Linked DNA regions of Caenorhabditis elegans. The protein of the gene in region 1 interacts with the protein of each later gene in a biochemical or structural test. Each region holds a gene or a part of one and is shown on either strand. Other genes may lie near its edges. The genes, in order: smu-1 and smu-2.

Region 1 (8,721 bases):
CAAATTAATTATTTCCAAGACCATATTTTAGAAAATCGTTATCCAAATTTCACCATTAATTTTCAATGAAAATTTATAGAAAAGCGCTTTCGAATATTGTTAAAGTTAAATGTTTTTTCCGCCTTTTTCAAAATTTAATTTCTTCCAAGGTTCATCAACTATTTTCCAATTTATGTGGGAACTTTTTAATAAATGTTCCAATAAACCGAGATTTGTCGGATTTCATTAATCACTAATTAGTCAAAGTGGGTGAGGCTAAGGGAGACAAACTATAAGTTTTGTTAGCCTTAATTGTTTTCAGTCAATAATATTAGACGTTCTCTGAATTTAAATAAGATCTGAGATGTCTACTGTATTTATGGGGAACAGAGAAAACAAAATTTTCTCCCGACGACAAACTGTAAAACTGCTTTGCCTGAACGTACTATAGTTGTTATGCTGATGGCTTCGGTCTGTGGATAGAACATATTTGTAGTTTTTGAACTTCTGATTTTTTGGAAAATTTTAATTTTGAATTTTGAATTCCACATGTCTTATTAACCCTCACTACACAAATCTCACCCTTGGAGTACTGTAACCAGCGATAAATCGGTGGCCGAGTTTTTCTCCATTCTCGTCCAAAAACCTTTTTCCATTTTCTGACGACTACTCATTATCATAAATAATTAATTGCAACTCGTTCGTTTTCCATGCGCCACAGCCACATCAGCAGAACCCAAAAAACACTAATGCATTTCGTTTTTCTACTGATTAAAATTTCAAAAGGAGGGAATGAATGAAAAGGAACGGAGAGTAATATGTTTTTTTTTGTTTCTTGTGCAAAATGAGTGGGCTGTGGTGGTGGTGATCAAACTTCAATAATATATATGTTATGTGGGAAAGAGGGTAAGGGATTGTATTATTACTAATGTTAGTTAAATTATAGTGATACTCAAGGACCCTTATTTCTAAGAAGAGGAGGAATGGATGTATATAAGTTACTTAGAATCGTAGTAAGTATTTTTCAAAAATTCTATGATGCCACGTGGTATCAGAGCGTCTCATCTCAGTTTGATCTACGTAGATCTACAAAAAATGCGGGAGAAGAGACACTGATTTCGCATGGTTAAGGACGTGCATACGTCACAGTTGTTTGGGCAAAAACATTCGCGCATTTTTTGTAGATCAAACCGTAATGGGACAGCCTGGCACCACGTGTGGTTCCAAAAAACGGCAAAGACGGCAAAGTTTAGTTAACAACGTGAAACCCCTGTTAGTTAGCGGCGGACACTGTGCGTTTATGAATTTCCCCACATTCACGATTACCTATTTTGACAAATTTAGTATTCAACAAAAAAGGGATTAAAAAACGTATTGAAATAAATAAATATATAAAATATATAGCGAAACTTTTTATATATTAACAGAATTCACATTTAACAGTTGAAGACAAAAATATCAAACTTATAGTTTCGAGTGTCCGTCCCCGAACCCCTAAACATTTTTTTGTTAGTAGTCCTAACTTGTTTTCCAGTCCTATATTTCGTACCATAAAATTTATGCCGTGTCTTATGTCCTCCTAACATCCTGACATTTCTCGGAACTTCCTCAACATCTAATCCTCTTCAATCACTGAAGTAAATACTATTTAATCCACCTCTCTTCTTGTCAAGACCCAAGTTTGTGAGTCCTCCTTCCCAAAAAATAAAAAAACAAAATGTATCACATCTCGTGTCCAATGACGCGAAATAAAACGGGGAAGCGAAGAAGTGCGTCAAACGAAATTTTCCAATTACAAAGTGCCAACAAACTCGCCAGGCATCATGATGACATAGACATAAACATGTGTAGGGGGGCCCCTCGTTGATATTGGGATGGCTAGGGGGGTCCTGGTGGAGGGTGAAAGGGAGACACTACAAACTACAGAACTGTGTTAGCTGAGCACTATTTGAATTCAAGACATATAATTCTGTAATACTGCATCAATAGTATACTAACTTAGTTTTTTCTACATTATATAATTTAGGCAAAACTAGTTATTTTATTAACATTTAAAAAGGTTCAAATAGTTTTTAATTCCAGATGTCCACAGTGGAAAGTGCAGCTGTCCGACTACGTCCAGTTGGCTCATTGTTCTTCCTGAATCGACCTCACGAGAAAAGAGCATTCGATTCGTTAGCTGGAAGTGGTTTTGATAATGGATTCAACAAACGAGCATTCGACAGTCTTGCTGGTTCAGGTTTCGGAGCATTCAATAAAAGAGCATTTGATTCATTGGTGAGTTGAAGGTGGCCTTAAGCCATCAGGCGTGTGTGTCTGCCTACTGCCTAACTTTTTTCGGTGATCGATTAGAAAAAGCTGTTCCAAAGTTCGTTAAAAATGTTTAAAATTTTGAAGCAAACATTTTTCAATTGACGAATTTTTAAAAATATTTCTAACGGTTTTTGAGCAAAGTCCAGATTTTTAACAATTTTTTTCATGCTACAAACTACACTTGGTTTCAAAGTGTCTCATTTCGGTTTGATCTACGCAGATCTACAAAAAATGCGGGAGAAGTGACGCGTAGTTCTCAACTGATTTTGCATGGTTGAGAATGTGCTGACGTCACATTTTTCTGCGCGAAAAATTTCCGCATTTTTGTAGATCAAACCGTAATAGGACAGCCTGGCACCACGTGCCCATATGGTTAAGCTCTTGGTGAAAATGTAGTTTGTAGTTTGTAGTTTGTAGTCTTTCCTCTCCAAACAACTCCAAATTTTTCAGGCGGGAAGTGGCTTCGGTGCGTTCAACAAACGCGCTTTTGACTCGCTAGCCGGATCCGGCTTCAGCGGTTTTGACAAAAGAGCTTTCGATTCACTGGCTGGACAAGGTTTTACTGGATTTGAGAAACGCGCCTTTGATACAGTGGTACGGTTTTCGGTGGAAATTCCAGTTTTTCGAATTTTCAATAATTTTCAGAGCACGTCAGGCTTTGACGATTTCAAATTGTGAAGAGCTCACTGATATTTAAAATTTGGTTCAATTCAAGCACATATTTTTGAGGTAAGCAACTGATTTTAATGTTGTTAATCAAATGAAAAGTGAAATTTTTGGAATAATTTTTTTTTGTTTTCAGGTAGCTCCAACGAACGACACACACAAGCCCAGTCCCCCAGTATTCCTGACGACAGCCCCTGCTCACACACTTTTTATTATAATTCCTTTTTTTTCAAACTTTTTTTTCAAATTTTATACTTTAATCTCAAAAAACCTATTCATACGAACACAAGTACCGGTGTGCGTGTGTGAGAATAAGAATTTATTTTAAAAAAATAAAGAATGTCGTCCTGTTTTTTCATATTTATTGAAGAAAATGGAGCTGGAAAAAAATCAATTGTAAAAAACAGAAAAACGTGCTGATAAAATGCATTGTACGCAAACTGTGGATTTTGAGAACTAACGTAGTCAAGCAAAAATCTCTGGAATTTTATCGATTTTTAACGGATAAACTGTTGTTTTTTGTAACTGTGCATGAAAAAAAATCTCAGGCAAAAATATTTTCTGAAAAAAAAAGAGTTTAAACACAAATGCAAGTCCACAAAAAACTCCAATTTGAAATTCGCTCCAAAAACGCAAAACACGCCAAGCGCTCGTGCTGGCGCATTTGCCGATCGCTTCCAAAAAGGCTGGCGCACTTCTCGTGTCCGAGGATATTCGAATTTTACACGTCATTTTCAGCCGTTTTTCACCGAATTTTCGCTGAAAATGTCATCGATTGAGATCGAATCTTCAGAGTAAGTTTATCTAAAAAGTTTTTCATTCAAAATGTGTAAAAATTCATTTAAAATAACCCAAAAATCATTAATCCTCGATATTTTCAGTGTAATCCGTCTCATCGAACAATTCCTCAAAGAATCGAATTTGCACCGAACTCTGGCGATTTTGCAGGTATTTTCCTGCATTTTTCAACTGGGAAAATGAAAGAAAATCGATAATTTCAGGAAGAAACCAACGTTTCGCTCAATACAGTCGACTCAATTGATGGATTTTGTAATGAAATTACGTCTGGAAATTGGGATAACGTGTTGAAAACCGTTCAATCGTTGAAATTACCCGCCAAGAAACTTATCGATCTGTATGAACATGTAAGATATGGGAAAGAAGGAAAAAACCGAGATTTTACTTGAAAAATTGAATTTTTCGCGGGATTTTCACCAAAAATTGTTGAATATTCATTATTTCACGCTGTAAAACAAAAAAAAAAAAAATCAAAAACTACGTTGAAATCGCGTTTTTAAGCGAATTTTCTTCAGAATTGCCAGATTTTAACCCCAAATTTTGCAGTTTTTAAATAAAATTTCACCTTTTCGGCTCAAATTGTAGATTTTCCTGAAAATTTAGTACAAAAAACAATTTCCTCGTAAATTTTTCAAATTTTCAGGTAATAATCGAGCTTGTGGAGCTCCGTGAGCTGGCGACCGCCCGTCTCGTCGCCCGTCAGACTGATCCAATGATTTTGCTAAAACAAATTGATCCGGATCGATTCGCCCGCCTGGAATCTCTTATCAACCGCCCGTATTTCGATGGACAAGAGGTTTATGGAGATGTTAGTAAAGAGAAACGACGCTCCGTAATTGCACAAACTCTTTCATCAGAAGTTCATGTAGTTGCTCCGTCAAGACTTTTGAGTTTACTTGGACAATCACTTAAATGGCAACTTCATCAAGGACTTCTTCCACCTGGAACTGCAATTGATTTATTTAGAGGAAAAGCTGCACAGAAAGAGCAAATTGAAGAAAGATATCCGACTATGATGGCTAGAAGCATTAAATTCTCAACGAGTACGGATTGAAATTGCTTTAAAATTTGAAAAATTGATTAAAAAGTGCATTTTTTAAGCTTTGACCGACTTAAAATTAGATTTCTGAGCCTATTTTCTGAGAATTGGAATTTTTTTCATTGTGAAAGTTCAAAGAATAGCGTGAATGATTAGAAAATATTGTAAAATTTCAATTTTTTCCTATAAAAAAGGATTTTTTTAGGAATCAAAAATTGCAAAATGATGCCCTAAAATTCGAAAATAAATATAAAAATTGGCGGTTTCTCAAAAATCTAGAATTCCGACCTTAATTATTAATTTTTTTACAATATTTTTTTTTGAAAAAAATCCAGAAAATTTGAATTTCGTAGTTTGTAGTCTAGGCCTCTATCAATTAAATTTTCGATTTTTTGAGTAAAATTTCGAATTTACTATTATTTGGACCAAAATTGTATTTTTTTTTCAGAATTAAATTTATAAAATTTTCAGAAATTAAATTTATAAAAAAAAAAAAAAATTAAAAAAAAAAAAAAAAAATTAAAAATTAAAAATTAAAAAATTAAGTTTTTTTTACTCAAAATTTTGCACTGAAATTCGAAAATCTAAAAATCCGACCTAAAGTCTGTATTTTTTCAACAAAAATTCAGAAAAAACTCAAAAACTTGTATTTTGTAGCCAGTCAACCACTTTCTAAAATATCAAATTTGAATTTTTCAAGCATTTTTACATTGAAAAATCTAATTTTTCGAGTGAAACCACTTGAAAATCTGAAAATTGAATTAATTTCTGAACTTTAGAGATTTTTTGTCAAAATTTTAGATAAAGGGATTTTTAAACAAAAAATTGATTTTTTAATCGAAAAATACTGGGATTTATGGGTTTTTTAAAAGAAAAACGGGGGTTTGAATGAAAAATCGCCTGAAATCTTAGAAAATTAATTAAAAAACTATGATTTAATTCCAAAAATTACCGAAAATATCAAATTTTCCATTTTTAAACCCTAAATTCTTTCAGAAAGTTATCCCGAATCGGCAGTTTTCTCACCGGACGCTAATTATCTTGTTTCTGGCTCAAAAGACGGATTTATCGAAGTTTGGAATTATATGAATGGAAAATTGAGAAAGGATTTGAAATATCAGGTAGATTTTTTAGAATTTTTGGGTTTTTGAAGTAGAAAATCATAAAAATCTAGGGTTTTTATGAATTGTTTTGAAGAAAAATTGCAAAAATTCCACAAAATGGAAGAAAAATAACTTTGGAAGCGCATTTTTCGCAAAAAAACCGAAATTTTTGCGTAAAATTTCAAAATTGCAATAAAAATTCCACAAACATCAAATTTCTTAAATTTTTTATAAAAAATTGGATGGAAACACTCTTGAATTTAGAAAAAAAATCAGTTTTTCTCATCTAAAACTTCAAAATTTCGGTGTAATCCCATTAAAATTGCCACAAAATTCGGAAATTTCACCTGAAATAGAGTGAATAATTTAAAATGTTCAGAAATTCATATTTTGTCATTTTAAAAGCATTAAAACAAATCAAAAATCTATTTTTTTTGGTTGGAAAAGTTCAAAATTCTGGAGAAATTACATTAAAATTTTCGTAAAATATGGTAAATAAACGAAAATGTTGAGAAATTAAAGAAAAGTTACAATTTTTAGCTTAAAAATTCAACATTTTGAGGAAATGCCACCTAAAAAAGTGACTAATCGAAAATGTTGAGAAATTAAAATTGCCACCATTTATTTATATAAACTACTCTAAAATTACAATTTTCATGTTAAAAATTAATAAAAAATCTACTTTTTCCAAACTACAGTAACCTTACCGTATACCTACAGTACCTGAACATTGCCCCCCACCAGCTCCCAACCCAATACCTCCTCAAAAACTTACACCTCAATTTTTCATAAACTACAGTAACCCTACCAAAAAAGCACAAAAAAAAATCTACATTCATTTTCCAACAATTTTCAATATTTTCAGGCCCAAGATAATCTAATGATGATGGATGCAGCAGTGAGATGTATATCATTTAGTCGTGATTCTGAAATGCTCGCCACAGGCTCAATTGACGGAAAAATTAAAGTTTGGAAAGTGGAAACTGGTGATTGTCTTCGAAGATTTGATAGAGCTCACACGAAAGGAGTTTGTGCTGTTCGATTCTCAAAAGATAATTCACATATTTTGTCGGGTGGAAATGATCATGTTGTGAGGTACGACTACCTGCCTGCCTACCGCCTAAATTTTTTGTGAAGTTTCTTCAAAAAATCCAGAAAAAAAAACAATTTTCATACGATTTTTTCCCTTAAAATTGTGAATTTTCATGCTTTTTAGCCCCAAAAGTCATTATTTGAGAAAAAATTTCATACAAAAAAGTTTTGAGAAATACACAATTTTTTAAATGTAATTTTCAAATTTTCAATTTTCAACTAGAAAATTCACAAAACTTGTAAATTTTGGACCAAAACATTTATACAATTACTTTTTTTGAATCTAATAACTACAATAACTACAAATTTTGTTCAGAGTTCATGGAATGAAGAGCGGAAAATGTTTGAAGGAAATGCGTGGGCACTCGAGTTATATTACAGATGTCAGATATTCCGATGAGGGAAATCATATTGTGAGTTTTTGAAAAGTGCAGTTTGTAGTCTAATTTTCATTTATTTTCTTTTTAAAAAACGCATCAATTTTTAAATATTTTGGGACAAAATCCGAAAACTGTACTAATTTGTAGTTTGTAAAATTAAAAAAAAAACGCAAAAAAATGTTTTCAAAAATGCTTAGAATAAAAATAAAATTTCTAAAAAATTGAACAAAATAAACATTTAAAAATTCAAAAAGTTTGAAAAAATGCAAAGTTTTTTAATGCAAAAAATATTTAATGTTTAAACAAATTTAAAAAATGTTGTAAGAATATGTTTAGAGACAGTTTTTAAATGTTAAATTGCAAAAAAAAAAAAGCAAAAAAAAATTTGAAAAATGTAACAGAAAATTTTAATTAAAAAAGTCGTGTTTTTTTCAAACCTGCAATTCTTTGTAATTTTATTTATAAAGAGAAACAAATCAAATTGTATATTACGAAAAACGATACTAAAATTCGAAAATTTGCGGTTTTTTGCGTAAAAAATACGGTTCCTGAAAATGGGTGTGCACCTTTAAGGAGTACTGTAGTTCTAAACTTTCATTGCTGCAAAATTTATATCTATTTTTTGAAGTTTTACAATAAAAATAACAATTTTCATTAAATAACTACAATTAAACAGCTAAAAACATATAAGAAATCGCGAGAAAATCGGGAAAAAATTGTAGTTTGTAGTATGTTAGCCGCAATCAAATGCATGTTATCTCTGTATTTCTTTTCTCACACAAATCCCACATATTTCTATGTTTACACACGTCATTTTGTGCACTTTTTCTGACGTTTCCCCTCCATATTGATTTTGCTTTTTACTGTTTAGAAACGTTGCAGAAATCCGGAAAAATTGATTTTTTTTCTATATATATATATTTTTTTCCAAGTTTCAAATTTAAATTTCAGAAAAAAAATTTAGACTTAAAAAAATTAAAAATCCCAAATAATTTCCAGATCTCATGTTCAACAGATGGTTCAATTCGTGTTTGGCATGGAAAATCGGGTGAATGCCTTTCAACATTCCGTGTTGGAAGTGAAGATTATCCAATATTAAATGTGATTCCAATTCCGAAAAGTGATCCACCACAAATGATTGTATGCAATCGATCCAATACCCTCTACGTTGTTAATATTTCTGGACAGGTAACATGATTTTGAAAAAAAGTTTAAGAACTGAAAAATGGAATAAAAATATTTAAGAGCATTTTTAAATGTAAAATTAACAAAAAAAGCGCCTAAGAATGTTTCCAAAACAGTAAAAAAAAGGTTTAAAAAAATGCAAAAAAAAATTTAAGATGCTTTTAAT
Region 2 (8,312 bases), on another chromosome or scaffold:
AACAAGTAAAGAGCTAATCATCCGAAATGGCGTTGATACACGACTTCGCCTTCAACGACTGATAATAAGCATCCGTCACTTGTTCGGCCAGTGAGTCAGGATGATTTGCTCCAGGAGTAGACAAACGCAAGCTGAGTGGGTGTCTCTGGAATTTTATCAAGTTTTAGTACTAAAAGCAAATTCAAATTTTTATCGTAGCGTCGGACATCTACTGGGTTCCGTTTTTGACGTAATTCAACTAAGTTGTGGAACCCGGTAGATGTCAAGTGCTGATTTGAACTAAGCAACTAACCGTATGAATCATAGTTCGAATGAAATCGTGTGCATGGTAAGACACGATAGTGGCAATGCAGCACGTTTCAACGTTTCGAAACTTGGCGTCCTCAGCGATGATCATCAAATTGCAGACATATGGAAGGTCCTCATAGTTCTGAAAATATTACGGTATTTGATTAAAGCAAACACACAACTTTTACCGTCTGCAGCTCCAGACAAAGATGTTTTTCGAGCGAGCTTCTCAGCTTTTCCGAATCAGGATTGGTGAACCAATGCTCAGCCAAAGATGATATCTCAGAAGCCAATCTTGGTGTGAGCTGGGCAGGCTTTTTGTAATGTCTGGTGACCATGTATACGAGACACTGAAATTAAACGGTCCCAAATATTCAGAAAACGTCAACCTACGATGTTAATAGCCTCCACATCGGAGCATTCAACGGTGAGCTCTGTGGTGTGCTCCGTCAAAAATGCACGGAAGTACCCAGAAGCCAGACAGACCATCTCACTGTTAGTCATCACGAATTGAGTTCCATCAGATGTGATGAGTTTCAGATTTTTTGGGAATCTAAAAAAAAACTTTTTGAATTCAAAGAAGTGCTGCAAATCAAAAACTGACTTTGCAGTAATTGCATCGAAGTTGCTTTCAGAAGTTTCTGTTTCAATTGGTGCTCCTTCTTCCAACAAGTACTTCAAATCCGCGAAATCGTCTCGATCGTACACCCACTGAGTTTCCAATTCAAGTTCTTGTTCATTCTTCTCTGCGGAGACCATCAACTCTGAGAGATCTTTTCCGTGTGGATCAGTTCGAAAGGTCTTTGATTCCATTGCGACTCTTCCTTCATTTATTTGTCCATCGAGTACATATTTGAGGCTGTTCTCAACACTTCCATCTTTTTCCATCACATTCAATGTGAATTGTATTTTTTGGGGTGGTGGATATTTATCACGAATTGCCCTTTGCACCAATTTGAGTTTCCATGGGGAATCAAGCGGATACCGATTGAGTTGAAGAACCCTAAATAAAATTTTATATATTTTACCTTCCAACTTCGAAAAAATCACTCACCATTTTAGCATGTTTCCCTCAAAAACCGTGGCAAATTGCTCTTGGAAAATAATAGACACATCAGTTGGTCGAGCATTTTTTGGAGGAATTTTAAAACTGTGATGATGGTTGAAGGTGACTATATTGTCTGCGAGTTGATACTCTGGAATATTGATTTTTTTGAAGATTTCATAGTCTTCTTGGATTTCAAAAATTGAAATATTTCAGCTGTATTAAAAGAGAATAAATAAAATGATATTGCCTAGGGGTGAGCGGCAAACGATTTTTTCCGGCAAATCGGCAAATCGACAAATTGCCGGAATTGGAAATTTCCAGCAAATCGGCATATCGGCAATTTGCCGGAATTTAAAATTTCCGGCAAACCGGCAAACCGGCAAATTGCCGATTTGCCGAACTTCGGTAAATTTGCAAATCGGTAATTTGCCGAAAATTTTCGGCAAATTGTGGTTTTGCACTTATTTTTTGGAATTTCAATTTCAAATGGCAAAATTAAACGCATCATATGAATTTTTCTATATCTATTTTGAGAAGTTCTATGAAAATATGTAGAAAAAACGGGAAAAATTCAATAATAGACAGTTTTAAGTGCTTCCGTCTTATAAAAAATCCCTCTAAACATTTCCGGCAAATCTGGTATTCGGCAAATCGGCAAGTCGGCAATTTGCCGTAAATTAAAATTTCCGGCAAAACGGCAAACCGGCAAATTGCCGGAATTGGAAATTTCCGGCAAATCGGCAAATTGCTTGCCCATTTTTTGATTCTTAGTCGGCGTTTTACACAAAAGATAAATTCCAATAAAAGACAGAACTTTGCTTTTTGCCAGAAATTAAAAAATTGGGGCAAACCAATCCAAATATGAAGTGTAAACTTGGGTTTGCACCAGGGCTGTGCGGAAACCGGCAATTGCCGAAATTGCCGAACCCTAAAAACTTTGGCAACCGGCAACTTTTGCTGGCTGGAACTTCGGCAACTTTTCGGCAAACGGCAACTTGGTTGCCGGTTGCGCAAAGCTCTGGTTTGCGTTTAGTAGCAAGGCTTCCTGAAAGAATTCCGGAGGAAAACTCCCCCTAACTCACCTTTTACTCTATGCATCTGCTTAATTTTGTGCAATTGTAGTGCAAATAGTAGGAAATGAATTTTTTTTCCGCCATTTTTTCCTTTTCCTATTTCTGCTTTTCAATTTCCACGTGGAGCTCTTTTAAAATGAAAATTTAAACTCTAGATATTTCACGTTTTAAAAAAAAAAAATTTTAATTTTCTATCGGTTTTACTTTTGACGAAAAGGGTTCACAGACATTGGAAATAATCATCATTTACTATATATAAAGCGCTTATTCTGTGTGTCCATAGTTTGTAGTCTCTGTAGTCTTTGTAGTCTGTGAAGTTTTGGCTTCTGGAGGGATAGTGAGTTGGGGTCAGTGTAGGGATATAGTCGGGGTACTGTAGTGGTACAATAGTGGTACGGTAGGAATACTGTAGGGTTACGGTAGTTTCATAAAAAATTAATTTTCAGCCCCAGAAGTCGGGGGCCGCGCCGAAGGTGCCTAGACCTAAGCCTAGGCCTCAGCCTAAGCCTAATTACATCAAAAAAGCTATGACTTTTGGATCATTTTGACTTCTTTTCTAGAACGCATAATGAAATAATTCTTAATTTCATCGGCTTTTTCTCATCGTTGCTTAGAAGTATTGTCTTGAAAATTGATATTTTTAGAAAGTACACATATTTCTCAATCCTTTTATTTAAATTTCTGAAAGAAACTTTGCCACAACGGTGAGAAAAGGGTGCCCGAAAAATGTGCATTTAAATGTGAAAAATATCCGTGGCCGCGGCCTAAGAACCCCCGTCGGCCATGTGGTGCAAGTGCGCTCTGTTGCGGATTTTTATATTTAATTGCATTTTCGCATATTCGAACGATTTTCCTGATTTTCCAGCCGAAATTGTCCATTAAAAAGTGGAAAAATGGCTGATAATCCAACGTAAGTGATTTTATTATTTTTTATAGCTATTTTCCATAACCCAAACCTTCCAGAAACCTGCGAAACGCCGATTTTCGAAAGCTCCTGACTTCAGCTCGGAGTGATCGTCCAGCAGTCTCGGCCTTTGCAAAACCGGCCGACCCGAAAACCGGCGACGATAAGCCTGCAAGCTTCAAGCACAAACATCTGAAACCGGCTAAATTCAAAAAACCACAGGCGGCCGCTCACGGGAAGGCGAAAAAAGAGAAAACCGAGGCGGACGAGGATGAGGCCGCGCTCAAAAATATTCTGAAAAACTATAGAGATCGTGCAGCGGAGAGACGCAAGCAAGGCGATGTTAGTAGAATTAAAATATCATATAATTTTTGCCAAATTTCATTAAATTCCATTAAAAAACCTGAAAAATCGATTTTTTAGGAAAAAGAAGATCCATCAAAACTCACGGCGGCATATCGTGCAGTTCCAGGAGACGCCCGTTCGGCTCAGGATCAGGCAGATTTGCGAAAACAGGCGATTTTAGAATCGAAATATCTTGGAGGAGATTTGGAGCACACTCACTTGGTCAAAGGTCTCGATTATTCGCTTTTGAACAAAGTTCGAAGTGAAATTGACAAAAGTGATGATGATGACGATGATGATATTGATACGGCATTTGTAAGGAGTTGAACGGCTGAAAAATCGATATTTTGAGCGAAAAAAGCCGGAAAAATGGATTTTATCGGATAAAATTTGATTTTTTGAGCTGAGAAATGCCTTTATAGACGAATTTCCTTGTCAAATTGTTAAAAACTGCAAAATTTGCCAAAAAAAAAGCATTTTTTATATTTTTTTTTACAAAAAATTCCACAAAAATGGCAAAATTTGACTAAAAATGCCAATTTTGTCGTTTTCTCCGTGCCACAGCGGCCGAAAATCGATTTTTAAGCGATTTTCGGGTGAAAAAGTGTAAAAACCGACTGAAAATCCAGCTGAAAACGACAAAAACGGTAAGTTTTAGCTAATTTTCACCTTTTTTTCGATATTTTTTTACTAAAAAAAAACCGAAAAATTGAGTTTTTTTCAAATTTCTGCAAAAATTCTGCAATTTTAGCAATTTCCATACTATTTTGACGCCGAAAAAGCTTAAAAATATGATTTTTAGAGGTTTTTAATGGAAAATTCATGGATTTTTCAAATTTTTCCACGAAAATCATTGAAAAATTTGAAAAAATTGATTTCCTATTCAAAGTTCTAGCTAAAAACTGCAATTTTAGCAATTTCCATACTATTTTAGTACTGAAAAAGCCTAAAAATGTGATTTTCAGAGGATTTCAATGGAAAATTCATGGATTTTTCCAATTTTTCAATGAAAACCATTGAAAAACCCTGGAAAATTGAGTTTTTCTTCAAAGTTTAGGAAATTTATGAGAATTTTTGAATAAAAAATTTTTAAATTTGAAAAAAATTGAAATTTTAATTCTAAATTTTAAAGAAAGTTGATTTTTTAATAATTTTTTTTTTTGAATAAAAAAAAATCAACTTTCTTTAAAATTTAGAATTAAAATTTCAATTTTTTTATTCAAAAATTCTCATAAATTTCGTAAACTTTTAATAAAAACTCAATTTTTCCGATTTTTTTCGATGATTTTCACTAAAAAATTGGAAAAATTCATCAATTTCCTATTGAAAACCTCTAAAAATTATATTTTTTTTGCTTTTCCGACGTCAAAATAGTATGGAAAATGCTAAAATTGCAGAATTTTTCCAGAAATTTGAAGAAAAAACTCAATTTTTTCCGTTTTTTCAATGATTTTCATGAAAAAATTGGAAAATTTTGTAAATTTTCCATTGAAAACCTCTGAAAATTTGGAAATTTTCGAATTTAAATGTTTAAAAAAAATTGAATATTTTGCGAGTTTTTGAATTTTTTTTGAGAATTTTTGAATTTTTTTCACCCAAAATTTTTTCAATTTTTCAGGACGAAAAAGTGACGTCATCATCATCATCGTCAAAACCATCAGAAGCCAGTTTGCTGGCTCAAGAACTTGCTCAATCTCATTCTGAAAATCGAATGGTCAGAAGTTTGCATCGAGTTCTGTTTAAAAATGAAGTACCCCTTCACAATCAACTTTTCGCAAAAGGACGAATGGCTTATGTTGTAGAGCTGGAAGATGAGGAAACTGACATTCCGACGACGTTGTTGAGGTGCTGAAGCTCGAAAATTTGGAGCTTTTACACGAGATTTTTGAAGAAAAAGCCTGAAAATCGAGAGATTTTGAGCTGTGGAATTCGTTGAAATTACATAATTCGCGCCCGTAATTCTTTAAAAAAACGCTGAAATTTGCAGATTTTGCCAGAAAGTTGAAGAAAAATCTACTTTTCCGGCATTCTCTATTATTTTCATGGAAAATTAGAAAAATCCATGAATAAACAGTGAAAATTGCTGATTTTACCTGAAATTTTGAAAAAAAAAAAAATCTAAAATCAAGGTTTTAAGCCTAAAAACTGCAGATTTCAGCCAAAATTGTGAAAAAAGCTGATTTTTTGCTATTTTGAGCTTTTCCATGGGGTGGAAATTGCCAAAAATTACGGAACATTCACACAAATTTGCTGAATAATCCAATTTTCCAGTGTTTTCTAGAGTTTCCGTAGAAATTTTGAAAAAACCCAGTAAATTTTCAATCGGAAAACCTCTAAAAACATCGTTTCAGGCCTATAAATAGTAAAAATTACCGATTTTATTCGAAAATTTAAGGAAAAGTCGTGAAAAACGAGATTTTAAGCCTCAAAACTGCAGATTCTATCTAAAATTAAAAAAAAAAAACATAAATATCCGAATTTTTGGAGGAAAAGCCTGAAAATCGATATTTTAAGCCTCAAAACTGAAGATTTCAGCCAAAAAAAAAAACAGATTTTTCGCTATTTTATGTGCCAAAAAACCACATTCCGAGCTTTTCCAGAGTGGAAATTGCCAAAAATTACAGAATTTTCCCAGAAATTAGCAAAAAAAAAACCCATTTTTCAGGCGTTTTCAACGATTTTCATAGCAAATTTGAAAAATCCATGAATTTTTTAATTATAGAAAACCCTCTGAAAATTGCAGTTTTAAGCTATTCCAGCATTCAAATAGTATGGAAATTGCTAAAAATTGAAGAATTTTCCCAAAAATTTGATGAAAACTTATTTTTCTGGCGTTTTCGATGATTTTCATGGAATTTCGAGAAAATTAATGAATTTTCAATTAAAAAACGTCTGCAAAATCACATTTTTTAAAGCTTTTTCAGCAACAAAATAGTATGGAAATTGCTTTTTAAAAAAGCGGAATTTTTGGAAAAAAGGTTAAATTTTCAGTCAGTTTTTGCACTTTTTGACTGAAAATTCACTGAAATTAGGGAAAAATTCCGGAAAAATGATTTTTTCGAATTGTAGGGCAAATTTTGCAATTTCAAGCAATTTCCATAATATTTTAATGCTGGAAAAGCTCAAATTTACGTTTTAATGGGATTTTAGTGAAAAATTCATGGATTTTCCGAAAAATTTGCAGGAAAATCATAGTAAAGACCTCAAAAAATCAATAAAAAATTTAAAAAATTGGACAATCACATTTCTGCGTAAAATCTGCACTTTTTCAGTAAAAAATACCGATTTTCCGTGAAAATTCTCGATTTTTAATCGAAAATCTCGAAATTTTTACAAATTTCAGCACCAAAATCGTTGAAAATTCTGAAAATTTGAATTTTTTTTCCTTGTTTTTTGAGTAAAATTTGCACTTTTTCAGTAAAGAATACCGATTTTCCGTGAAAATTCTCGGTTTTTAATCGAAAATCTCGAAATTTTTACAAATTTCAGCTCCGAAATAGCTGAAAATTGGACAAAAATTTCAATTTTTGCCCTGTTTTTTGAGTAAAATCTGCACTTTTTAGTTGAAAAAAAACACGGATTTTGTAGGAAAATTTGGGAAAAATCTCCAAATTTTCACAATTTTCCAGTAAAAACAGCAATTTTTAAAACGGTTTTTAATCAAAAATCTTTAGAATTTTCCAAATTTCAGCACCAAAAAAGCTAAAAATCGCTGAAATTTTCGACAAATTCCAAATTTCCAGGTCTCTCCACGACTTGCCACGTGCCGAATCTGCTCAATCAATTCAAGCGAACAATCTCATCATTTTAAAGCTCTCACATGTGCTCTCTCATCTTCGCGCCGAGCCAAAAAAGAAGAAAAAAGAGGAATTTCGAGTTCAATTGGGCTCCAGAGATGCTCCAGGAGCAGCAGCAGCAGCTCCTGGAGCCAAAGGAGATAGTATCTATGATGATCTTGACGATTATGTTCCATCAAGAAAGTCTAGAGATTCAAGAGACGCAGGTAGAAGAGGAAGTCGGCGGGATAGATCACGGGATAGATCAAGGGATCGGGATCGTGATAGAGATCGTGATAATCGGGATAGGTTGGTTTTTCCGAGAGAAAAACGCTGAAAAATGCCGAAAATTTTGAATTTGCAGGCTTTTTAGGTGCAAAAGTACGGAAAAATCGGAAAAAAATCAGGAAAACATGGGGAAAATCCAATTTTCCAGAAAAAATGTTTGAAAAAATTGAAAACTTTTGTTTTTTTAGTAATAAAGTTTTAAAAAATGGCAAAAATAGCTGAAAACAGCGAAAAAAAAAAATGTTTTTTTCAGGAAAAAATTTGCAAAAAAATGAAGAGCAACAATAATTCCCTTTTTTTTCTGTGTTTTTTTCGGAAAAATTGAGATCGAAAACGAAAAACAGCGAAAATTCCCAATTTTCCCAGTTTTTAAAACATTTTTTTGTAAAAATTTGGAAAAAACGAGTTTTTTCAGAAAAAAATGTGAAAAAAAAGGTAAATTACCAATTTATGCTTTTTTTTCGATCGAGTAAAAAATCGATTTTTCCAAGATTTTTCGCGAAAAATTCAAAAAAAAAGAACGAAAATTCTCGATTTTCTACTTTTTTTCGAAAAAAAAAGGAAATTATAGATTTTTCCAAGATTTTTCG

Evidence for each region.
Region 2: the proteins of smu-1 (region 1) and smu-2 are reported together in a solved structure, tested with the Caenorhabditis elegans proteins (one study listed by BioGRID).

Annotation. Positions count from the first base shown.
Region 1 is NC_003279.8:12,992,166-13,000,886, forward strand, and holds the start of smu-1 (Smu-1 suppressor of mec-8 and unc-52 protein), read left to right. Parts: upstream 1-3,637; 5' UTR 3,638-3,723; coding exon 3,724-3,752; intron 3,753-3,839; coding exon 3,840-3,906; intron 3,907-3,959; coding exon 3,960-4,103; intron 4,104-4,399; coding exon 4,400-4,799; intron 4,800-5,791; coding exon 5,792-5,916; intron 5,917-6,763; coding exon 6,764-6,993; intron 6,994-7,306; coding exon 7,307-7,403; intron 7,404-8,369; coding exon 8,370-8,558; intron 8,559-8,721. Other genes in the region: nlp-15 (Neuropeptide-Like Protein), read left to right, coding at 2,062-2,256, 2,743-2,886, 2,938-2,970. UniProt on the Caenorhabditis elegans protein: Involved in pre-mRNA splicing as a component of the spliceosome. Selectively regulates alternative splicing of unc-52 exon 17.
Region 2 is NC_003280.10:3,479,211-3,487,522, forward strand, and holds the start of smu-2 (Smu-2 suppressor of mec-8 and unc-52 protein), read left to right. Parts: upstream 1-3,197; 5' UTR 3,198-3,302; coding exon 3,303-3,319; intron 3,320-3,372; coding exon 3,373-3,655; intron 3,656-3,736; coding exon 3,737-3,973; intron 3,974-5,276; coding exon 5,277-5,503; intron 5,504-7,401; coding exon 7,402-7,743; intron 7,744-8,312. Other genes in the region: Y49F6B.8 (BTB domain-containing protein), read right to left, coding at 14-145, 293-430, 477-638, 682-841, 893-1,291, 1,343-1,484, 2,419-2,434. UniProt on the Caenorhabditis elegans protein: Auxiliary spliceosomal protein that regulates selection of alternative splice sites in a small set of target pre-mRNA species. Selectively regulates alternative splicing of unc-52 exon 17.